3 linked regions of the Alligator mississippiensis genome follow. The protein of the gene in region 1 binds, or shares a complex with, the protein of each later gene. Links are inferred from orthologs where the notes say so. Each region holds a gene or a part of one and is shown on either strand. Other genes may lie near its edges. The genes, in order: NUP107, NUP93 and NUP133.

The links.
Region 2: NUP107 (region 1) and NUP93 share a complex: the UniProt entries of both Homo sapiens proteins name them as parts of the nuclear pore complex. The link is inferred for Alligator mississippiensis from reciprocal best matches to the Homo sapiens genes NUP107 and NUP93.
Region 3: the proteins of NUP107 (region 1) and NUP133 are in contact, whole or in part, in a crystal structure (PDB 3CQG), measured with the Homo sapiens proteins. The link is inferred for Alligator mississippiensis from reciprocal best matches to the Homo sapiens genes NUP107 and NUP133. Residues at the interface, in NP_065134.1 of Homo sapiens: Leu875, Gln876, Ala878, Asp879, Val881, Ser882, Ser883, Glu884, Tyr889, Lys894, Leu897, Arg898, Leu900, Leu901, Gln902, Arg905, Ser908, Leu909, Leu912, Asp917, Pro918, Leu919, Tyr921; in NP_060700.2 of Homo sapiens: Trp937, Leu938, Ile941, Asn942, Gln944, Leu946, Tyr963, Ala965, Lys966, Lys968, Thr969, Leu970, Gly972, Leu973, Lys975, Leu976, Ala977, Leu979, Ala980, Ser981, Asp982, Ile992, Glu999.

The regions. Positions count from the first base shown.
Region 1 is NC_081827.1:69,368,096-69,376,106, forward strand, and holds the start of NUP107 (nuclear pore complex protein Nup107), read left to right. Parts: upstream 1-2,815; 5' UTR 2,816-2,829; coding exon 2,830-2,837; intron 2,838-5,610; coding exon 5,611-5,667; coding exon of another isoform or gene 5,668-5,669; intron 5,670-6,233; coding exon 6,234-6,319; exon of another isoform or gene 6,320-6,338; intron 6,339-7,640; coding exon 7,641-7,730; intron 7,731-8,011. UniProt on the Homo sapiens protein: Plays a role in the nuclear pore complex (NPC) assembly and/or maintenance. Required for the assembly of peripheral proteins into the NPC. May anchor NUP62 to the NPC. Involved in nephrogenesis.
Region 2 is NC_081833.1:36,478,444-36,486,454, reverse strand, and holds the start of NUP93 (nuclear pore complex protein Nup93), read right to left. Parts: upstream 4,405-8,011; 5' UTR 4,217-4,404; intron 3,377-4,216; exon of another isoform or gene 3,270-3,376; intron 1-3,269. UniProt on the Homo sapiens protein: Plays a role in the nuclear pore complex (NPC) assembly and/or maintenance. May anchor nucleoporins, but not NUP153 and TPR, to the NPC. During renal development, regulates podocyte migration and proliferation through SMAD4 signaling.
Region 3 is NC_081824.1:149,062,787-149,070,797, forward strand, and holds the start of NUP133 (nuclear pore complex protein Nup133), read left to right. Parts: upstream 1-3,388; 5' UTR 3,389-3,499; coding exon 3,500-3,681; intron 3,682-3,836; exon of another isoform or gene 3,837-3,916; intron 3,917-8,011. UniProt on the Homo sapiens protein: Involved in poly(A)+ RNA transport. Involved in nephrogenesis.

The sequences.
Region 1 (8,011 bases):
CTTCCTTAAGACCTAGCAGGAAGTTGATCAGTTGCTTCAGTCATGCTGGGTATACATATTCAAGAATAAAAGCTTCTATTCTTCTCTACAAAAAAACAGTAATGTTTCAGGTGAAAGAGGAGTATGCACTTCAATCCCTGAAACTCCTAGTTACCCATATATTAAATTCCTATGTTTATACTGGGCACAATGAAGCTTCCTTCTCTTGTCCCTCCCCCTGCTACCAAATGATTGTTCTACAGTTTAAGAAAATAGAATTTTTTAGTCTCTAGCACAGCATGTTACTTCTCTAATTTATAAAAAACTAGGAAGGCTGCCCCACTCATCTCTATAACACCTAAGAGTAGTAGGCTTGTGAGCCAAAATCCAGATAGCTGGGTTCCTACATTCTATACTGTGTAAATGAAAGAGTAGATTCAATTTTAAAATAAAGTTGTCACATGCACTTTCCTTCACTAGTATAAGACAATATATTAGTTTAGAATCTGACATTACAAGCTTTTGATGGTGTATATAATTTGGAAGGGGAGGATGGTAAGATCCTGCACCCTACCTACTGCCAAGAGTAAGGGAAGCAACACAATGTGCTTATTGCTTGCTTGTACTGGAGAGAGTTCAAGTAAATGTTTTGCTTCTGCTAGTTTTCCTGTGTTCTTGTATGATGGATTTCTTACTGTTGGTTTTTAATAATCATTTTAATGGCTTTTTCTTTGGGAGAGCAGGTATTTTTCTTAGCAACTCGTGACTTGTTAAAGCAGAGATAGACAAAATGGGTGATCCGGCTAGCAGCTGGACTCCATTTCCTAGCAGCCCCTGCCTGTACGGCTGGGGCCAGTCTCCATGGACACCCCAGCAGCCGATTTGCTGTGATCATGGAAACCCTGGCCTCCCATCGAGACCAGCACTGGCAGGGCAAATAGCAGGGTGCAATGCTGCTCTGGAGCTGGGCTGGGATCTTTCAGCGGTGACGTGATCCTGAGCCAGGGCAGAGAGCTGTGATCTGCAGCATGCATGCCCCGGACTGGGGTGTGCAGGTCACGGCTCTGCCCTGGCTCTGGATCACGCTGTCACGGCTGAAAGATCCCAGCTCAGCTCCAACGCAGCTCTCTGCCCTGCCAGCAGGGGAGGTGCCGGGGGTGGGGCTTGAAGCAGCTAGAGCAACCCCTCAATTCCCCACAGCCACCCCTCCCAGGGGTCTCTATGGAAACCCTGCCCCCTACTGTCATGGGGCAACTGCTGCTGGGTTCTGCATGGAAAGTGGCTCCAGCCACAGAGCAGGGGCTACTGGGAAACGGAGTCCACTGCTGGCTGGATCTGGCCCATGGGTTTGACTTTGCCTGCCTGTGTTAAAGTTTTATTTTCATATGGTGTAAGACTCGATGATAGGTGCCCCAGATGGCTCAAAACCCCTTTTGTGCATCTCGTCTTGAAATGTACTGGCATAATTGTGGGTGATCCTTATCTATTAAAAATTGGTCTGATTTAAATTACTTGGAACTAACTCCTGGCATTGTCCACCAGCAATGATAAACTATTATCGGGTAGGTGTAACTAAATAATGTAAAAAACCCACTATTTCTTATTTACTGTGCTTAAGGACAACCAAGCATGGTTCAGGTGCTTATGGCTGAAGTAAATAAATTAAAAAAAAAAAAAAAAGCAAAAAGGTAGGGAGGGGAAGGTCTCAACCAATGGGGGCAGAGGGGGAGGGTGGGGGGTTTGCCTTCCTTTGCAGAGTTGGGGTATTGCCCTCTACCCCAGATCTCTTGAACCCTTTTTTTTTTTTTTCAACCCTTGTAAATGTTGACAATATTTTACAGAACTAGGATGTTGCCTGCTTTAGCGTAGGATGTTAGGTTTGTGCTTGTGCAAGGGTAGTGAAGGAATAAAAAGGGTAGTGGAGTTAACTTACGGTTTTGTCGGATGGTTTGGATAGGGCCGGACTAGCTAACCCTGGAAGTCCCCATCCCTCCTGCTTTCTCTAGGATCCTGTCCCTAAAGGGCTGACGTAGCATCTTCACCCCTCTCTACTCGCCTTGTTCTGCTGCAATAATGTTAGCCACCAGCCCCATCGGAGTGCGAGCTTCTGTGGATCGTGTACCTAAATCTGAAGCCCTCTGGCTTTAGGCTTGCACTAGGATGCCTGCCAGTAGATTTGGGACTATCTGAATTCCTAGAGTGAGAGCCCGCGACGGAGGATGCCCGCCGGTTGTAGCATCATGCATGGTGTTTTGAAGAGATTGAGTTCTGCCTGCTCAATCAATGAGGTTTTCAGAACGATTTGAGCTCTGACCAATTAGTATGATTTGGCTGACTTGATCCGGAACACGAAATATATTAATGGGAGAAAAAAAATCAGTGCAAACCTGTGCCTGCAACAAGCAGGCTATGCTGCCAGAGGAGCTCTGAGTGCAAGATGCACTGAACTCTGCAGGCAGGAGTGACGCAGGGGGCAGCCCCCCGGCCCCACCTACTCCTAGAGGCGGGCGTGCCCCAGCGCTGTTTGCTGCTCAGGCCTAATGCCTGGCGTAAGACACTCTTGAGAGGAGCATTAAGCTTCACTGACAGCCCCCGACCCCCAGCAGGCCGCACAGGAAAGGCGCCCCTTGCCCCAGAGCTGAGGGACGCAGCCCACCCGAGCCACCGCAGGCTAATGTGCACATGCGCGCACCCACAGTTCCGCCTCGTCCATCGCAGGCAGCAGCGCGCAGGCAGGAGGCGCATGCGCCTTCTGCGCGCGGCGCCGGTGCAGGGTCAGCTTCCGGTGGCGGGCGGGTGCTTCCGGAACGCGGGAAGGCTCAAGTAGTGGCCACGGCCGGGGCTGCCGGCATGGACTGGTGAGTGCCTCTCCTCTCTCTAGCCAGCGCCGGACGGAGGTGGCCAGGGGCTCCCATGCCCGATGCGCTCAGGGCGGAGGGAGGCGCGGGCTGTGCAGTAGCTCCCCCCCTGGCCTGGGCTGCCGCAGGTGGCTGCGCTGGCGCGGTCTCTCCTCAGGGCTCGTGTCGGAGGCTTCCGCTTGGTCTCTTGCGCCGGCTCCAGGAGCTCGTGGAGGGGCTGTGCCGGCCCTCGTATGGTGCCCCCGCCGCAGGGCCGCCCTCCCTCAGCGGACTGACAGCGGGGCCGCGGTGTTGGCAGCTCGTTCCCGGCCTGGGCGAGAGCCGCTGCCACCGCCGGTTTCCCGACCAAACAGCAGGGCGCTCTGCCAGCGCGCGTTGTATCTTCTTGTGCTGGTGGGGAAGCACCCTTCTTGTTCACACACGCACCCTCTTGCTAGTCTGCGTTAGTTGACACCGTGCGTTTCAGTGCCCCTTAGCGCTAGGAGGTACATGTGGGAGGGAAGGAAATGTGTTGAAGGAGGGGTGTACCCTGAAAGCAGCATCTCTGGGAGACTTAGCCTTGAGGCAAGTGCACAGTTGAGGAAAGGGGGAGTGAGAGCTCTGCAGGAGGATGTAAGCAGGCGTAGCAGTGTGGTATTCCTGAATGCAATGGGAGCAGGACTGCGGCGTCCTCTGGGTTAGGTTCAGAAAAAAGCTATGAGAGTGACTATGTTTAAAGGGTTGAAACTGGCTCTGAGGCTAGGTAGTGCACTTGCCAGGCTAGGTGACTGGCTCTGAGTGCAAGATGCATCCAGAGTCTATTAATGGACAGCACTGAGTCAACACAGGGGAAGGTGACCAGTGGCATCCCTCAGGATTCAGTGCTGGGACTAGTGCTTTTCAACACGTTTATCAGTGATTTGGATTTGCATATGAAAAGCAGACTGGCGAAGCTCGTGGATGACACCAGATAATGGGGGAGCACAGTCACACTGGAGGACTGTGCTGGGGCTGGGGATATAGGACAGGCCTGAACAGGCTTGCAAGGTAGGTGGATCAAAACCTGATGATCTTTAACACTGAGAAATGTAAAGTGCTCCATCGTTATTCCATTGAGGAATAATCCACAGCACACTTATAGGCTTGACAGTGCTATACTTGCCAGCACCGCAGCTGAAAGAGATCTGGAGGTTGTAACAGATCACAGAATGAACGTGAGCCACAAATGTGATGCTGTAGCTGACAGAGCAAATCAAACACGAGTATGCATCTACCAATGTATCTCAAGCAGGACTAAGCCTGTTCTCCTCCCACTCTACTAGGCCTTGGTGATACCATAGCTGGAGTACTGTGTTCAGTTCTGGGCGCCACACTTCAAGAAGGATGGGGAGAAGCTCGAGGTTGTCCAAAGGAGGGCTACATGCATGATTAGAGGTCTGGAGAGCAGGTCATACAAGGAAAGGCAAAATGACATAGGACTGTTCAGCCTGGAGAAAAGAAGACTTAGAGGAGCCTTGGTGGCAGCCTCTAAGTATATCAGGGGTGCACAGCAGGGCCTGGGGGAGCATCTGTTCACCAAGGGATCCTCAAGGGGAAGGCAAGAAACGACAGCCACAACAACAGATTGAAGATCGTTTGAGATTGGACATAAGGAGAAACTTCTTCACCATTCAAGTGTTGAGGGTCTGGAACAGACTCCCCCCAGAGGTGGTACAGTCACCTACCCTGGAGAGCTTAAAAAAACGATTTGACATGCACCTTGCTGGGGTCATCTGACCCCGGCAGTATTTCCTGCCCAAGTGCAGGGGAGCTGAACTCAATGATCTTCTAAGGTCTCTTCCAGCCTCTAACATCTATGAAAAACTGCCAGGGGTTTTAACAAGGGTTGAAAAAAAATGTGTTATCAGAGTTCAGTTTATTTGGTTTATATCAGAGAAGGCAATGAGGTTAGGGCTATCTGGGGAAGAGGTTTTGAGTGTACACGTACCTTGTAGAAAAAGCTACAAGGAGGCACGGGGATCAGAAGTTGGGAGCTCACATAGCTTTAACTAGAAATGAGGTGCAATGAGGGTAGAACCGATGGAACAACTTATCTGCAGATATGGGGTAGTCTGTCATGTGATGTCTCTAAATCAAGGTGAGGTATCTTTCTAAAGGAATGTGGTAGTTCAGGGGTGTCATTGTAGGGTGGATCTGGCTTGCAGAGCTGTGTCATCTGGCATATGGGGCTCCTGAAGGGGTTGGGAACTTGGGGGTGAGCAGGGGTGAGGCCTTCCTCTGAGTTTAAGAGTATGAAGTCCCACTGGGAATGTGTTTTGGCAGGGTGAGCAACAGCTGTATTAAGCTTTGATTCCCTGAAATGTCTGAGCCTCTGCATAAACTGCCTGTTTAATGCCACCACTGCTTTGCCCTGCTGCTGGAGATCTGGATCCAGGAGCCCTGCAGTCCAGATCCAGCTCGGGGTGGTGTGGGGGAAATGAGCCAATCAACTTTGACAGCCCTGCTATAGTTCAAACAAGCTGAGCACTCGGATCAGGAATTGCTGTGGGAGTTCCTTAGGTCTGTGCTGTATAGGAGTGTCTCAGTGTGGAGGCTGGTCTCTTCAGGCCTTTGAACTTACTCATCTAAGTGAAGTTCCAGTTTTGTCTGTGCATATAAGTTAACTTCTTGGATTCTGAAGCTTCCCACAGAGTCTAGGAACTTTACAAATATTATGTATTTGGTGGTCTATATGCAGTTTGCATTTCACAAGCATTTTGCTTTATGGGAAAGCTAAATCTTCCCTTCTCCTTAGCACAGGTCAACTTCATGGGCCAAAGATAAATCAAAATATTTGGGGAAAGAATCAAAGGTGTGAGTTCACTTCATTCTTTATTTTAAATATCATGTCTCATAAACCCATTATGTGACTTGTTTAAACTTTTTCAAAAACATTCTGTTCTCATGTAAAATCAGCTAGTATTAGAACTTCAGCATAAATGTTCAAGTTTGTCAAAGATGTTAGTTAAAATTGGACTAGCTGTGGGAGGGACTACTGTGCATCTGTTAGAATATTTCCCATGAGTGTGAAGTTAGTTACTTAATATTTGTAGCGTAATCTTTTCAGCACTGTGGAGAACTTGTTTCTTCTCAAGCATTTCCCTCTTCTTTTAAGTTAAAGGACATTGCTGGATAGAAACAACCACAAGAGTTTGGGGCGGGGGGGGGGGGTGAGGAGAGGGGGTTATTTTGAGAAAGTAGTTTCTTTTTAATTTCATAAAATACTGGCTACACTTATTTACTTTTCTAAAGTATTTGAAAGTAGTTATTGATCGTACAATCTAATTAGCAAAAGAAAATAGAATTCTTCTCCCATAGTTTGTCCTGCTTAAATCTGTTTATTTGTATTTGTTTGTTTACTACATTTCTGTTTTGTAGGACTGATTTTGGAAATGTGGCATCCCCACAAGATGCGGAGATGACTAGGCCTGCTCGAAAACAGAGTTCTCAAAAAAGAGTTTCTAGTATCCTTTCTCTGTCAAGGTTTTTGCGTGTTTGTGAAACCTCTAATATTTTGACTGCACCATGGAATAGTTATTTTTTCTTGGTTTTGGCTTATAGCAATTATGGCTCCCATGAGATCTAGTTAATTTCAACTGCTATAGAGTACTGTATTGTATTCCTTGAAATTATGCACATTTGAAATAACACTAGTATGAAACTTGCATTTTCTTGTCCTGTACGTTCATAATATAAAGGAACATCACTAACTTTGAAATATCACTCACTAACTTTGAAATACCACTTCTAAGACCTTTAAATCTACTGTTCAAAAGTAGTGTGTGTTTACTGGTGAAAGATTACATAGTAAAAACAATCCCTCTGTTGTACTTAGGCTTTCAACAGCATTTGTATTTTGTCAATTTTACTGTATCCAACATATAGCCAGTTATTCCTATTTCATGCATGTTTGTCAAGCTGAAAGAGATAGAAAAAATTGGTAGTGAGAATTCGGAGTAACACCTGGAATGTTTTAATTCTGTCTTTTGTGTTGTTATTTTTAGATTCTAGTTCAGTTTCCCTTCAAAATTTTTCAACATTATTAGAAAACTTGGGGGTTTTGATTTAGCAAATGAATATAATTGACTATGGAAATGGAAATGTTAATATTTCATTTTCACTATAGCTATTTTATTGTTAGAACCATTTTGTATAAATTTAATGAATGCAATAGTAATTATCTGATTTTGATGGTAAAAAATTCTAGTGCATCTGTTCTTTCTATTACTTTCTGGAACTACTGCAAAATTAGCTTAATAAGGTGGTGGCCCTTTTTGTTGTTCCATTTCCAAATCATCAGGCCAGAAGTAAAATTGACAGGATTCATGTCGGTTTCCTGTTGCTGATATTGCTTGGGAAATGTGCAGTATAAGCAGGCAGGGTACTGTGAGCAGTAGATGGCAGCTCTGTTCCAGCTCCAGACCATGCTGTCTCCACCACAAGATCCTGGTCCCAGAGCAGCTCCCTGCCCAGCTGCACACCCTGCCAGTACTGCATGGAAACCTATGGCCCTGCCACTCCTGGAGTCTCCATGGAAATCCAGCTACAGCAACACAGGCAGGGGCTGCTAGGAAATGGGGTCCGTTGCAGACCCAATGCAGCCCGTGGGCTGGAATATGCCCACTCCTGGGTTGGATGTACATACCTGAAGTGCTTTGCAATTTTTTTTTAAATGGTAGTAGAAGAGATAATTTGCTTATCTGATAAAGTATTTCAGTAGTAGTTCTGTTATTAGTAAATATGAAACAAAGTTTAGGAGACTTTTTTTCTTAACTTGTTCAACAGGTCTTGCATCCTTGGATGACAGTCCTGGTAGTGTAACACCAAAGAACCAATTGGTTCCCCAAACTCCGGTATCATTATTTCATCACCCCTGTAAGAATCCTTTTTCTCCTTTGATGTGTAATTCCATCTATGGTTTACTTGCAGTTTGTGATTCTACACGCATTGTTTTACTTCTTTATATATAAAGTTTGCTGGAGCTGATACTCTCTTTCTGTTCAAGCCTGCTCTCAAAATCCAGAAAATTAATAGAGAATAATTTGAGAGAGAAACTGGTTCACCTTTTTCCACAGTTAATTACAGGACTTTATAAACACTTTTAATCTTGGTTACTAATCATAGGAACTCCCTAGCAAAGCACTCTGGCTTTTAAC
Region 2 (8,011 bases), on another chromosome or scaffold:
ACTACTATTCCATGTCCAATAAAACTCCATTTTAACAGTTCTCTAACATTTGGAAACTAAAAATAAACATTATATATTGCAGTAGTTGACTGAATTTAAGCCAAAAGGGCACTGGAAGGCAATGACAGGTATGGTTTGTTAACTCCACACTGATTTAAATGATGATTTGCCATTTAAAAAAACGACTAATTCTCCTCAAGACGACAGTGATGCTGCCCAATGAAGAATGTCGTAATTAATGTACTCCAAATATAGCCATGCTGAATATTTTATTGAACAGGCTTCAAAGCTTAAATATTCAAATATGTGAACATCATCCGTTATCTTTCAAATACTGAAAGGTATGTGTCATCTAATTAATTAGCTTTGAGAAATATAGAGCAATTTAATTTTTTTAGCTTATTACTATGAAAGATAATATAACAGATAAAATATCTAAAATATAATAGAAGTACCCACATTTAGAGTTAGACATCAAAACTCAAGGTTAAAAAGACTCCATTACTTATATATTTTTTCAACAAGTCATTGTTTTATAACTGGTGTGTAGAGTGGTCACATTAAACTCTGAATATAGTCTACCAATCTTTTATTAAGGCCATCTACCACTTACAGCTTTGAAGATCTCTCCGAAATGGAAAATGAATATGAAGATATACTATCTACCCTCCTGCATACCAGACCTCTCCAGTACTACTGCAGCAAAGTGAAATTGACAAGTCTGGTTCAGTTTCACCCTTTACATTCAGAAACTCATAAGCAACAATGAAAGAGACAAGAATCAGGTCAATTTGACTCCTCAGCTTCCCTAGGAAAGCTACCAGCAGCAGCACCTATAGAAATTGAAACTAATCATGAGGAGAGAGAGAGAAAGAAAGACAAACCCAAGGATGAGCAAGAAGCTCCTGTGAGAAAAGGAGACTCTAACACTGCTGATTTTCTAGAGGCTTTAGGGGCAGCTAGGAGTAGCAGTATCAAGCCACCTAAAGAAGGTGCAAGGCAGCACTTTGGCAACAAGTCCAACATCTTCTCTCTACTCAGAAGATGGAGAAGCTGCTAAGCTATACAGTAAGGCATGTCCCAAAGCTTTGCTGATGGCTCCTCCCTTTCTCTCAGCTTCTGGAGGTCCCTGTATTTAAAATCCTACAATAAAAATAATACTTACAAAAACAACCATCCATTTCCAAGTTTTCACCAACCACTAGAAATTCTGGCTTTACAACTCCTTGATATAAAAATTCTATAACCTGAACGCTGCAGACTACTTGTTGATTGCGCAAACAAGCTTTTTAGTATTTTTGACTGTCAGCTTGTTTTTATGTTTCTATACAACTTGCAAAGCAACCATGCAGGTTTTCCTCAGGTTTCTCGACCCTTGCCTCTTAAATAGAGGTTTTGCTTGCTTTATGCAGGTTCTGTATGCGCAAATTCACTCTTATCCGCTGAGCTATTTATACCAAAAATTCATTATATACAAGGTAAATTCACTCTTATGTGATCAGTGTGGTGGAAGCCCTCAGACAGCTGCTTTGACGCACACCCAAATATAGTCTCCTGCGTGCACAGCATACCCAAGCAGGGTACAGGACTCGGGGCAAGTCAGCGTTTGCGGGGCCCCAATCCTACTCCAATCCCATGGGCCTCGGACCCAAAGAAGCTGCCACAGTCGTCAGCACCAGCGGTGGTGTGGGGGGTAGCGAGTGGCTGGATGTGCCGCTGCTGCTCCACCCAGCTCTGCAGGGCCCCACAAAGCACAGGGCCTGGGGTGGTCACCCCATTTCACCCCTGCCACAGGGACAGGGCCCTGCCTGTGTGGATCTGTGCTCCTCGCTTGTGGTCTGTGACACGTGCTTCTGCAGTTGCCATCCTTATTATGGTAACATTCACCACCACCCTGTGCAGTTGGCAAGTACCAAAACGGTCTTGTAAAGTGGGGGTCAGTACAATCGAGGTCTTGGAATGTATCCCGATTTGTTACATTGTAAAGTGGGTTCCCTTTGTATGAATTTGAGGTATGCACCGTTTTCCAGGAATGCGTGTACAGCATAAAGCAAAGGAAACCTGTAATAGTGTCACCTGTCAGTTTTGTTACCTCAGAATTCATGCTTTTTCCCCAAACTCCTTTCTATATACATTAAGCACCCAATCCGAGCCCAGACCATTGACATACTAGGCTAACCACTGTTACGTGGAAAGCTACCATTATTTGGAAGGGGGGGGGGGGGGAGACAAAAACTCAACACACTCAGAAATTATAAAGGATGTTACAAAAGAAATGTAGAAATTACTGAGATAGCCTCTCTGCTGGAAAAAAAAAAATATCACACATCCAAAAATACAGGCATTGTGCATGTGACAGAATTACTGAGCCAAGGCCAGTGTTGGGCCAGGGAAGGTAGCCAGCAGCATGGAGTGGTGTGCATCTACCCATCAAGTTTCACTGTGTCAAAAGACTAAGTTTTAACAAAAGAAAACTCCAACCACATTAACAAGAGGTTTGCCTTGCCCATGGAGATTGTAACCCTGGTTGCACTCAAGTCAGCATTTTGTGCTGCAACCCTGTAGAGACCAGGGCTAGAAGACAAATCAGATCCCATCTAAAAAGGTCCAGTAAACCTAGTGTCCCAATCAAGAGAACATACTTGAGGCTACTGCTGGTCAGAAAGGCAGAGAATGCAGAGAACAGAGGAGAGCAAAACCACACCGTACGCATTTCAGTTAGATATTTTTTAACGTGTCTAGGACATTTGTCATATGCCATTTGTTTCCCTATAGTCCTTTTCCCCTGTTGATGGGTTAGTCCAGTCAAAGCCTAAAAGGAGCAAATGGGAAATGGCCGGTAGTCAGCACAAAGAGATAGTGATGGTTTCTTAGTCTGAAGTCAAGTAGCGGGCTGGGGAGAGCTGTACTTTGCAGACCAGTGAAATCCAAGGGAAAGTTAAGAGCGGGCACTTTCCGAGGGGGCTGGAGCCTAACGCAGGGGCCTGGCCGCTGAAGAGGCCGAGAACCCGCACTAGAGACCAGGCAGGGGAGGCCCCAGAGGGCAGGGCGCAGGCGGCTGCAGGCGCCCACACAAGCCGGGAAGCTCGTGCTCGGGGCAGACCCGCCCGGCGCGCTGACAAGCCCGGGGCCCGGGAGCTCCGCCCGGGCGAGCACGAGCCGCCGGACAGGGACTCACTGAGGGCCGCGCACGTGGCCCCGGGGGGAGGCCGCAGAGGCCACAGCCGCCGCCGCCGCCGTCCCGCACGCGCCGGCCCGGCGCCACTTACCGGTGTCCTTCCGCCGCGGGTGCCCACTCCGCGCCGCACGCGCTGATTGGAGCAGCCACCAAGCTCCCAGCAGCCCCCACGCCAAAACTTTATTGAGGCGCTGGCAGGAGACACGGGCAGTAGGGGCGGGGTGTCCCCTGGCGGTGGCCCTGGGGTTGCTTGGCCCGGCCCTGCCCTGCCCCGCCCCGCCCTGCCCCCGACACCCGGGCGGGGGCGGGAGGAGGTGGATGGAGGCCTGTACGGGTCACAGGCCTCATTTCATCTCCTCAGGCCAGGGCTCGATCAGGGTGCGCACCAAGGCTGCTCTCACGGCCTCCGCCTTGGGCTGTTCTGGGGCGAGCAACTCTGATGTGCGGCTGCCCGGGAGGGCGCTGCTCTTCCTCCTGGCTGGTTTCCCTGTTGGAGGGCTGTACCGGCCTAGCACGGAGCCTCCCAGTGAGGGATAACTTGCAGGTTGCTGTGGCCGACTTTCCCTCTTGGGGATCTCAGCCTAACAGGCTACAGTCACCTCTAGTTTTATAGATCTTCTGCGGGGAGATTCAAATGTAATATCATCGGATGGGCATGCCCTGATTTCCACAGTAAAATCCACTCGGAGGAGTGAGTGGGATCAAATGCCCTTCACCCTTCAAACTCTCTAAAAACAGAATTTAAAGCCTGAGGGCCAGGCATAGTAACTGTCTTATGATCTCTCTTCCCCCCAGTGTATTCACTATACTTCCTCCTACCACGGGCACATCCTGATCAGCAGCAGATTCCAATCTCCCCCTGCCCTGCACCTCCACCCCCGATTGCATTTTAGTGGCATAAGCTGGAGCCAAAGGGTAAAGAGGTGAAGATACTGCTCCTTCAGAGGCTATTAAGTGCTTTGGTTGAAAGATCAGTAGCAATATTTAAAAGGCAGCCGGAGAACACTTCTCCCTCCCTCCTGCCTAGTAGTTTCTTACCTTGCCATCTGGATTTGTTTCATGCTGTCTGCCTTGCTGGTGACATGGAGCTGCGTGATCGTCTGGTGTCTGACATTCATAATGCCAACATCTGACATTGGTCCTTCAAGGACGCTGGATCCAGCATTCTAGTTTAAAATGCCAGCTGTCTCCAGTGAGGAGAAAGCAGAGAGAGAGGATTTTTTTTCTCTCCCCTTCTTTCTTTTCTCTACAATTTTTTTAAAGATTTTGCTACGCACAGTGGTGAGTTGAAAAATTACAGGAGACACAAGGCACTTACAGAGGTGCCCTGTCCTTGGACAGAAAACAACTGTCCTTCCAAACAACTTGATAAGGGTGGGAGGCTGCTGGCTTGACTATTTGTTTTAACAGATCATATTTCCTGCTCAATTCACCCAAGACCCTAGGCCTTGAGTATGAATCAGATTGTCACAGATTTGCAAAGTGAAGGGGTGGATGCAAAACTTCTCTCCCTTTGTATTCCAGTCTAGGAGCCAGTAAATGATCTAAACCAGGGGTGGACGATCCCCGGCACGGGTGCCAGAACATGGCATGCAAAGGCATTTTGCTTGGCACACGCACCTTGGGGCAGACGGTGGAGAGTGGACCAGGCCTGCACTGCCACAACAAGTATTTGGCCCCTTGCAGCCCCTGCCATCCACCCCCGGCATGCCAACATCTTACAAGTCAAGGTTGTGGGTGTTTTTGGCACTCTGCTCAAAAACATTGCTGACCCCTGATCTAGACTCTGCAAGGTAAAGAGCATCCATAACTCAGAAAAATGCTGATTTGAATTAAAGGGTGTTATTACACATGCTCCAGGGGGGGAAGGGGGGGTATTTAGAGCAGCTCAGAGAGCCACTCTAATTGAAGTGCCCTCAGTGTCTTGTGTAATCAATGTCCCATGCTTCAAAATGGCAGTAGGAGCACTAACTGAAGCTTACTGAACAAGCTTTAGTTAAAGGGCCCCCACCACCATCTTAAAGCATGGGGACGCTGAATACATGAGACATGCAGGCTGCTGGAGTGCATTAATTAGCACACTCCAGCAGACTTGATTAATTGAGTCTGCTCCAACATGCTGTAATTACAGAGCACCCTTCCTGTACATCTACAGGCACCCAAACACATTCAGTATTTTTTGCAAAGGCCACAAAAGGTCTTGCATGATTGGGACCTGTGAGTGCAATCTATGCTCCAGGTTAGAGCCAAAAATTACCCTTCCCTAAAATAAGGATGAGATAAGGGCAAGGATTTGATTCAACCCCTTCTGCACCAGTCAGCAGAGACAGCCCTGCATGTAGGCATTGCATGCATTCCCACAGGTTCTGTGTCTTCTCAATTCCAAGTCAGTAATGAAGCCTTCACAGCGGGAGCACTTCCTGTTCTTTATTCCTTGCTTCCAGAATCTCTTTACCATAGGATCCCTTCCCCTTCAGCAGAGAATGAAGTCCCATGGCTTTATTTAACAAACCTATGGAGCCTGTATGATTCCAAAATAATGAATCAGAAAGATTATAGTTTCATAGTTGGGAGGGTTGGAAGGGACCTGAGCAGCTCATCAAGTCCAACCCCCTGCCATGGGCAGGAAAGAATGCTGGGGTCAAACGACCCCGGCTAGGTGATTATCCAGCCTCCTTTTGAAGACCCCCAGGGTAGAAGCAAGCACCACTTCCCTTGGAAGTTGGTTCCAGAACCTAGTACCCTGACAGTGAAGTAGCACCTCCTGATGTCTAGTCTGAATCTACTTTCAGTCAGCTTAAGGTCTTTGTTCCTTGTTATTCCCGGTAGTGCTTGGGGGAACAGGGACTCTCCCATTGCCTGCTGGTCTCCCTTGGCCAGTTTATAGATGGCCACCAGATCCCCTTTCAGCCCTCTCTTGTGGAGGCTGAACATGTTCAGGTCCCATAGCCTCTCCTCATAGGGCCTGCCCTGCAGATCCCTGATCATGTGGGTGGCCTTCCTCTGGACCCTCTCGATGCTGTCCACATCCCTCCTGAAGTGTGGCGCTCAGAACTGGACACAGTACTCCAGCTGCAGCCTGACCAGTGTCGCATAGAGGGGAGGATCACCTCCTTGGACCTGCTCATGATACATCTGTGGATGCATGACAAGGTGCGGTTAGCCTTACTGACCGCATCCTCACATTGGTGGCCCACATGCATCTTGGACTCAACAGTGACTCCAAGATCCTTTTCTGCCTCTGTGCTGATGAGAAGGGAGTTCCCCAGCTTGTAGGCATGCTGCTGGTTCTTCCCTGCTAGGTGCAGTACCTTGCACTTGTCAGTATTGAAACCCATCCTGTTCTCATCTGCTCACCCCTGTAACCTGTCCAGAGATAGTTGTAGCCTGTCCCTCTCCTCTAGCATGCCCACTTCTCCCCACATCTTAGTGTCATCTGCGAATTTGAACAAGGTGCTTTTCACCCCCTCCTCCAAGTCACTGATGAAGATATTGAACAGTGCAGGCCCGAGGACCGAGCCCTGGGGAACCCCACTGCCCACATCCCTCCAGGATGAAAATGACCCATCCACCACCACTCCCTCCAGCCAAATTGTGACCCATCTGACTGTGCAGGCATCAGCACCACAGTCACCTAATTTTTTAATGAGAATGGGGTGAGAGACAGTGTCAAAGGCCTTCCTAAAGTTTATAAAGACCTGCGTCCAAGGATTTTGTGACCTGGTTGTAGAAGGCAACCAGGTTGGTCTGACAGGACCTGCCTCTAATGAACCCGTGTTGATTGCCCCTAAGCATAATCTCCCCTGCTGGCCCCTCACAGATGTGTTCCTGGATAATTTTTCAAAGAGCTTTCCCAGGACCAAGGTAAGACTAACTGGCCTATAGTTTCCTGGGTCCTCCCTTTCTCTCTTTTTTGAAAATGGGAACCACATTGGCCCTTTTCCAGTCCTCTGGCACCTTGCCAGAGCACCACGAGTGCTTGTCAAGCTGTGCCAGGGGTCCCGCAATGATCTCTGCCAATTCCCTCGGCAGTCTGAGGTGGAGATTGTCAGGACCTGCTGATTTGAACACATCTAGTCCCACCAGAAGTTCCCTGACTAGGTCCTCGATGAACCTGGGTCTGGCTGCACCTCCCTTGGGTCTGTCCAGGATCCCGGTGGAGGGGATAACCTGGTCCCTGCTCAGAAAAATAGAGGAAAAGAATGTGTTAAAGAGGTTAGCTTTGTTGTCTGGTGTGACCACCAGATTTCCAAGCACATCCTGCAGAGGTCCCACGTTACCTGGTAACTTCTTTTTACCCGCTATGTATTTAAAAAAGGACTTCTTGCTATTTTTGATCCGGGTCACTAGTCCCAGTTCCGTCTCCGCCTTAGCCTTCCTAACAGCCCCCCGACAATCTCGAACAATGGAGGTATAATCCTCCTTGGTGATGACCCCTCCCTTCCATTGGGTGTATGCCTCCTTTTTAGCTTTGAGATGTTCCTAGATGCTTTTGGTGAGCCATGGGGGCTTTTGAGCACTCTTGCCCCCTTTGAGCTGCTTTGGGATTGTCACCCTTTGGGCTTGGAAGATAGTCTCCTTAAGGAACAACCACTCTTCTTAGATTCCCAAATCCCCTCCCCTCCGGGACCTCTGTGCCTCCCCGACTAGTCTCCTTACATCATCGAAATCTGCCCTCCTGAAGTCCAGGGCTGCTGCCTTGCTGCAGGCCTTTGACACCCTGCGCTGGATGGTGAATTCCAGCAGACAATGATCGCTATCACCCAGGTGATTGAGCACCCGGCAGTCACCTCACCAGGTCATCACCTGTGGCCAGGTCCAGGTCCAATAAGG
Region 3 (8,011 bases), on another chromosome or scaffold:
AAACATGTGAAGTATTGCTCTCTCTGGTTCAAAAGGGAATCTTTTGAATGGTTACCCATATAAAGACTAATTCTAGTAAATTGTTAATGTATGTCTCTGCCAAACTTGATAGTGTAAGAGTGATGTTGTAGCCATGATGGTCCAGGAATTATGCAAAGAGAAAACATGTCTTAGGGTGCTGTCTTTTTATTGGACAGAATAGGACCAACAAAAGATCTTGCCCTAAGACATCCTTGCCACTGACAATCTTGATAGACTTGTTTTACCAAGGACCATTTGGTTTCATGCAGCCTTTGAGTCCACTGTAGTATGATGAAGGAAAGGAAACCAAGCAAAAACCAATGTAATGGGGGGACAGAACAGTGTATTGCAACTCCTACTGTTAAAATGAACTTGTTTGTTTATATTAACTGACTGTATTTTTTCAGCATTGCTTTCCTGGTTGTATTTTTTTTTTAGTAACTTTTTTATTATGGAATAAAATTTTATAAATAACATTTATTGTACCTGTCATCTCATGTTGGAACTGTCCTGTTTTCACAATGTGATGGGAATTTTTAGAGGTTTGTTTTTTTTTTTTAAAAACACAAGTTTCCTATTCTGCATTTTTGGAATTAATGACCCTAGTGCCTATGTCGTATTCTTCTTCAGCACCTGAAACTCAATGTGTACTGATCACTGTATGCAGAAAAAGAGGTGTAACTTGTAAATAGTTCTCTTCAGGTCTTTTTTCAAGTGTAAGCACCTTAAACTCGGGATTCTTTTTAACATGAGCCTCTCCTTTGCCGTCTTCTGATTAGCTCTTTAAGGTACCATAGCGAGAACAAGCTCTTCTAGAAACAGGAAAGAAAGGATTGTATCATATGGTCCCAAAGCTCACCTCTGCTAAAGCAGACTTATTCCAAAGGCAAAACTTGTTCAGAAATAGTCTCATAGATGCAAGGGGTACAATTAATCTCTAATAAGGATAATTTAAACAGGATCCATGTGAGAAACTCAGGATGTGAAAATGAAATTTGGTTCAGATCTCCCCTCTGCCTAATACCATTTTAAGAAGGGATTTCTGTTAACCCTCCTGCAGAACACCATGGGAGGTTGGGTACCCCTCTTACATGGCATGTTCTTTGTCCCTGGCTTTTCTCTGCATTATTATCAGCATCTCTTGTATAGAAGAGAAGTAAATGGGATTTTCCAGTGCAGTTGTGAGCCCCGTTGAGCTTGTAAGCTCTTTGAGGTTGGAATTGCCATCTTATTAGAAGTTTTTTAAGAACAATCACAATGGCACCCTAACCTAGTCAAAACCTGTATGTACTACTTTTAATCTTGATGTTTTTATGACTGCCTGGTGGCCAGGGCTTATTACTAGGGACCTACTTAATTCATGGAGGCTGCCTCTGTATTTCATGGTCTTGGCATGGCATCAGGTGCCATTTTCACAGCCGTGTATGACAGGCCCTGCCACACCTTCAATCAAGGGATCCCAGAAGTCCTGCCTCTTCTCCAAAACTGACAGATGGCTACCTGTCAATCTCCAGGGAGAGGTGGGACTTCCAGGGGAGCCCTCTGTCAATATTCCCCTCTCTCCCTTGTTCCCTCCCTACCCTGCCACCAACGCTGTGCTCCAAAACACCAGGGTTTCCTGCCCTTTTCTGTTTGCAGCCTGGGCACAGGCATGGGGAGCAGAACAGCAAGGGCTGGCGCTGCTTAGAGCCACGAAGCAGTAGGTGGGACAGCTGCAGCTGGACTCACGTCTTGGTGCTGGTACAGAGCTGCTGCCAGAAATGGAGCTAGTGGAGGCCGGCAGGGGCTGTGGTTTGGGAGTGAGGGGTAGGGGCAGGGAACTGGCATATCAGCGCTGCTCAGTGTCCCACATCCTGGTGAGCAAAGGGGGCAGGGGCAGCTCTAACTTTTCTATGACAAAAAAAACTAAAAGCAGATGCCAAAGTGTGTAGATACTTAGAATTTGTTTATTATAATGATAGAGGCACTGGGTAGGCTTCTGAATTCCTTTAAAATTGTAAATATATCAATAAAACATTGCCCAACTGATCTCTCTATATATAGTGGTATTTAATTTTAATCGTGGAGGAACATGGATTTTCGGTATTTTAATGAGAGAATTTGAGGGTTTTTTATCAGAGAATTTGCGATTTTTAGACGAGGAACACCAGGATCTCTATTGGTGAAGCAAGGGGCAGGAACTGGGCAGAGGAGCCTGCCCAGGGACAGCACTGAGGACCCAGCTGGAGGGCAGATGAGTTGGCTGACTTCCTGGCCATTTGGGGCCAGGAAGGGAAACGTTGACAGTAGGGCCACTGCAAGGACCACATCTTCTAGGTGATAGCTGTCCAAATGGCAGAGCCAGGGCACCAGAAAACATGAAAGCAGTACTGCCTAAAGGCCATATCCATGGCCCACTGGCAGCTGGCCCAGAGGTGAAGGTGGCTTTGCTGCAGTGCCCATACCATAGCCCCGGTGGCCATGCAGCTTCCGTCTAGGTCTAGCAGATGTGCCGCCATGGGGCTGCAGGTCCAAGAGGGTGGATGCTGTCGCAGGTGGCAGCAGGTCACAGCCAGGCACCAGCCCCCACTGCCAGACTGCTGCAGTGGGTAGAGGGTGCAGGGGCCACTAGGTTAGGGCTGCTTCATCACAAGGGGCTAGTGTCCTCAGGTACCAACTGGCCCCAGCCTCAGAAGCTCCTGTCTTATTTGTATCTTCCATATTAACATGGGCCTTAAGGCCCACCCAGCTAACTAATAGCCTTTGTGGAGCCAAAGGGTGAAAGATGCAACTAATTTCTTGGATAGAAATGATGTGGGGGTCAAAGGATCAAAATGTGAAAATAAGTTCTCTAGAGGGGGACCTCAGAAGCCCCTGAGGGCATGTAGCCATGAGCTGCTAGCCAGGGCCACTGCAAGCACTTGGCCTACAAGAGATGAAATGCAAAAATCTAGACCTCTTGGTTTCAAAACGATACCTTTCATTAGACCAACTGGGGACTCGCAAAAAAATATCCTTTTCTCCAACCTTTGGGCTCAAAGGCCGTTCATCAGGCTCTGGAAAAAGTATAGATCGTACATTTTGAACACTTCTACTACACATTGTACAAAAGTTGACATTATCCGAGAAATACGGTAATTATCCTACATAAGGTAACACAGCACCCCTCCCAGCCCCGCTCTGCGCATGCGCCACAGCTAACTGCGCGCCTCAAGCCTAGCCCCTACAAGCCGGCGGCCGCACACCAAGCCCCTCCCCTCCCCTCCCCTCCCCTCCCGCCCGCAGTGGTGGAACAGAAGCCCCGCCTCCTCTGGGTGGGATGCCCTGTCAGGTTGGCTATTAACGGCTCTGGAAGGGGCGTGGCTGGGCGTGATGTGAGAGCAGTGCGCGGCGCAGAGAGTGACGGCGGAAGCCCCGGCGAGTTTGGAGGCAAGCGGGTCGGAGCGCGCGCGCCCGCCCGCCCTTCCCCCGCTTATCCTAACTGCCCCCTCTGCCCACCATGTTCGCTGCTCCCCCCGCCTCTCCGCGCACACCGAGTGGCTCGGCCCGTCGGGCCCTGGGGGCCGCTGGGGGCTCCGTGTCCCGGCCGGGCGGCAGGAGAAGCCTGGCCCTGGGGACGCCGGTCGGCTCTCCCGCGCTCTTCTCCCCGGCGGGCAGGAGGAGCGGCTCCCTGTCAGCACGGTGAGTGCCCCACCCCACTCGCTGCGCGGAAACCCTTGCGCCGCCTGGGCCCCGCCCCCTGCTGCTGCCGCCGCCTCGCTTTGGCTTTGTTGCCCCTGACGCGCATGCGTGGGGTGGGCGCTTGGCTACCCGCACGTGCCGCGCCGCGAGGTCTAGAATGGCGTGAGGTAGGGGGCGTTGTGTGAGGGGAGACCTGAGAGGCCGGTCCTTGCCCGAGTCCGAAGTCAGTCAGGAGGTGGGTATCAGAGTGCCTTTGGAGAGCGACACAGGAGGGAGTGTGTTTTGTGTGTCAAGTCTTTTTTTGATGCATGTCTGTATCCCTGCCAGTGTGATAACTTTTGCTGATGCTTTAAGTGTGAAATCGGTGAAGTTTCTTTGTGGAGATACATTTTTTTTCCCCCTTATTAAAAGTGCCAAAAATGTACAACATGAGCTTGTGTGAGCCCCAGTTCCCTTCATCAGATGCTGGGAGAGGATGTGCAGAAGGCAGAGTCTTCGGGGGGAGGGGAGAAGAAACTGGGATGCAAAAGCTTTTCCTTTCTGTTCTTACACTCTGCCTCATGTGTATCCTTTCCCAGCATCTGTTGGAGGGATCTGGGGTTCACAAAACACGCACTCTCTCCCACACACCTCTCTCTGGATAGGTGTCTATATCTACCTGCATCTAGAGCAGCGTTTCTCAACCCAGGTCGCAACCCAAAAGTGGATCTCAAGAATATACAAAAGGGTTGCAAACAAACTTGAACAGTGGATCAACAAACTTTTAAAATGGATTCTTCTTTAAAAGGGAAAAACTTGGCAAACTGTGGCTTTTCCCTTGCAGGCTGGTAGAGCTCCAGCTTGCCAGGGGCTGCTTGGGCCCCCCCCCTTGCCCCACATACCCACCCCCTGACCTACACACTGTGGGGACAGGGCAGTGGGTCAGGAGTGAGAGGCACTGGGTTGGCACTGGCTATTGATGTTGACAAATGGGTCCTGGTACAAAAAAGGTTAAGAACCTCCAGAGGCCAGTTGGGAAGTGGGGGCAATCAAAGCGTGCAAAAGCAAAACCAGAAGTCTGTGGGAGCAGAAAGCCTAACTACTTTTAAGAAGTGAAGTCATTAATGTATGTATGTTGGCCTGTAAGAGTAAGGGAGTGGATTTGATGATCTAGGGCGATGGTGTTCAACTCATCTGGCCGTCTGAGTTAGGGCCTGTCTGCAGAGGCTGGATCCAGCATGTGGGACCATGTTATGGAGCTACCCATGGGCCCAGAAATTTACTGGCACGGGAGCTGCAACAGTGTTAATTGTCATGGCTCTGGGAGCTGTGGTAATTAATGCTGCTATACCACTCCCTTGTCAAATTTCCAGACCCATGAGTAGCCCCGTAGGCTGAATGACATGGCTCTGTGGGCCATATCTTGGTCACCCCTGACCTGGGGGATCCTTTTAGAGGAACAACAAATCTACTTCCCCTAATCAAAAAAAAGTTCAACTTTAATATTTATGGACTTGGGCATTGTTGATTTGTTTGCTACATAAAGGAACTAAGGTTGTATGAAAGAGGCCTATCCCTAAATTGGGGAATTTAAATAGGATAGCCTTGTTTTATATTTTCTTAAGCTTTTTAATGTTTTCTGGTGGGAGATATTTCAAGATTCTGGGGCAATAGTTTTTTAGTTGGTTCCTGAGTTTATAGCAAAGTGGGGGGAACTTTGATTCCCAGGCCAAATCTGGCCCACAGGATCTATCGCAGGGTGGGCAAAATATGGCCCACAGCCTGGATCAGGCCCGCCAGTTGATTGCATCTGGCCTGTGGCACTTGGATGGGAGACGGTGCCAAGGCATCCTGTGCCACACTCCTACTGTACTCCTGCCTGTCACATCCCCAGCCAGTGTGCACAGCTTCTTTTCAGGGCTGCTCTGGTTGTGGCTACAGCCGCCTGGGTACTGCTCAGCTCTCCCCACTTCCAGAAGCTCCTCCTCCAGCCCCTACTACACTGGTATGGGTGGCAGGCAGTCACGGGGAAGGAGTGGTGGCTGTGGGAACATGTTCCAGGCACCACACACCCAGCCAGGTAGGTGGGGAGGTGTGAGGAAGCTACAGCTGGACAACTTCTGCCTCAGCACGCAGGGCTCCAGCTCCTGGCCAGTGTTCCCTTTAAGGTGTAGCAGTCCATGAGCGCGCCGTTTCGATCCGTTCCCGAATTGGTCCCACCTCCCCCTTTCAGCACGCGCCACTTTGGTCTGCCTCAGTATAACAAAAAAAGATGATACTATAACCTTTATTTACCAAAGTGACTCCTGTCTACCTTTTTCTGTTTTCCAAACAGAATATACAGTGTCCAGGTTAACAGTCTTTCCTGATGCTAAATGAAGTTTACTTTGCATCAGCTTGTCCAGATTATCAGCTTCTAAACGATTTCTAGACTTTGTTTTTATTGTGTTCATGAGGCTAAACCCTCTCTCACAATCTGCACTAGATGCCTGGAAAGTGGCACAGATGTCAACAAGTAATGACAGTTCACTAAATTGTTCCTGTTGTAGTATGTAGGTGACCATGTCTTCAATGGTCTTTATTGCCCCAGTTTTCATCTTCTCACTAACAGTTAATTTAAAGTCCACATATTTTTTGCATAGTTTCTTCTTCAGAGTTTCTACAGATTTGTTTAGCAAGGTGCTATCTATGTCTTGTTGCCAATGCTTTCAGCACCTCGTGCCCAAAAGAGAAATCATTCCTGTTTGATGAAGAGGAAAAAGAATCCTTATAAAAAAATTGACCATTCTTTCAACTCGCCTTCTGGAAATCTGTTGTCTGTGTGGTCACATGTATGCTCAATGATTTGAATAACTGATGTAGTGTCAACAGGTGATTCAAATGATGACAGCAAGGTTTGAACGTTTTCAGAAAAATATACAGTCTCACCAAGATACTGAAAAGCAAAATTTGGCAATTCTAGCTTTAGCAAACTGAAATGCTTCTACTGTTGTTAGTGAACTTCGTTGAAGCATTCTGCACAGCTCAGCCACTTCACCTAAGACATCATTTAGTATGACCAGTGCAACATGATACTCTGGTTTCCGCAGTTTGTCCAAGCAATATTTGTGAATTGGGTCATCGTCTTCAGCCATTTGTTGTGTGCAGTAGTTCATCAAGGTGCTAACAGTAAAATGTCTAGAGAGCCATCTGGCCTTATTCAGTGGTCTAAATGATGTTTCACACTCAGCAGCCTTAGGTAGTTCTTCAAACTTAGATTTTTTTACAGAAGACCTACTAAAAAGTGTGTATATGGTCTGTAGTAGAGTTTCAGTGCACCCCATCATCAATGCATCATCAATCCCCAAGTTTTCCCAGTGTGCCACGCAGTGCTGCTTGAGCAGATGTGGAATAGACTGGCGAAGTACTGCAGCCACACCATTGCACTTTCCAAGCATTACTGAAACACCATCAGAGGTAAACACTATCTTTTGCATATCTAAGTTGCTGTCAACATAAAATTGCCTAATAGTGGAGCTATCACAAGCTGTCAGCTTTAAAATTCCAGCAAACCTGTTCAGATGTGTGAAACCATCCATAGTTCAGAATTTTACTTACAGTATTAACGTTTTGCTAATAGAGATACCTGTGCTCTCGTCAACTATCAAAGTGTGGAATGCGATGTACACATTTCATTCAGTACTCCCTGATGAATTACAGAATTTATGCAGTCAATAAATTGAAATGCATAATTCTTACTTCTCCAGCTTTCGGGAATTTTAACATATTTACCAACGTGACTCTGGATTTCCTGCACTGATAACATTGATAAGTTTAACTTCACTGTGAGGAGAACATTATCAATTAAGACTTTTACCTCATCGGCATTTGATCACTTCCTTTCAGACAGTTCTATCCTATTTTCCCGTGTCTCGCATGTTTCAGAAAATGAACTTTTCAGGATTCCTCTGCTTTGGTTGCATAGTTTCATCACAGAATCTGTGTGAATCTGTCAGTTTCGAACATCTCCTTCAACCAGTCTTCTTTGAATCTTGAGCAGCTCTTCTTCTTAGCTCGTCCACTGCATTCATCCTCTTCACACTTATGCTTGGACATTGTAAAATGAATATAAAGATGATCCTTGCTGCAGGGAAGATATTGGCCTTTCTAGAATGATAGAAAAAGCAGTTAACTTACCCAAAGCACCTTGTCTGCATATGCCCTTAGACCAACACAGCTGTAGCTAGCACTTTAATACTTTAAAATTTAAATGCATAAATTAATGACAATAAAGACAAACCACTAAATGGCTAAAAAACTGGTGCCAGCCCCCACCTCGCCTCCGGGAACACAGCTTGGAGGGAACCTTGGC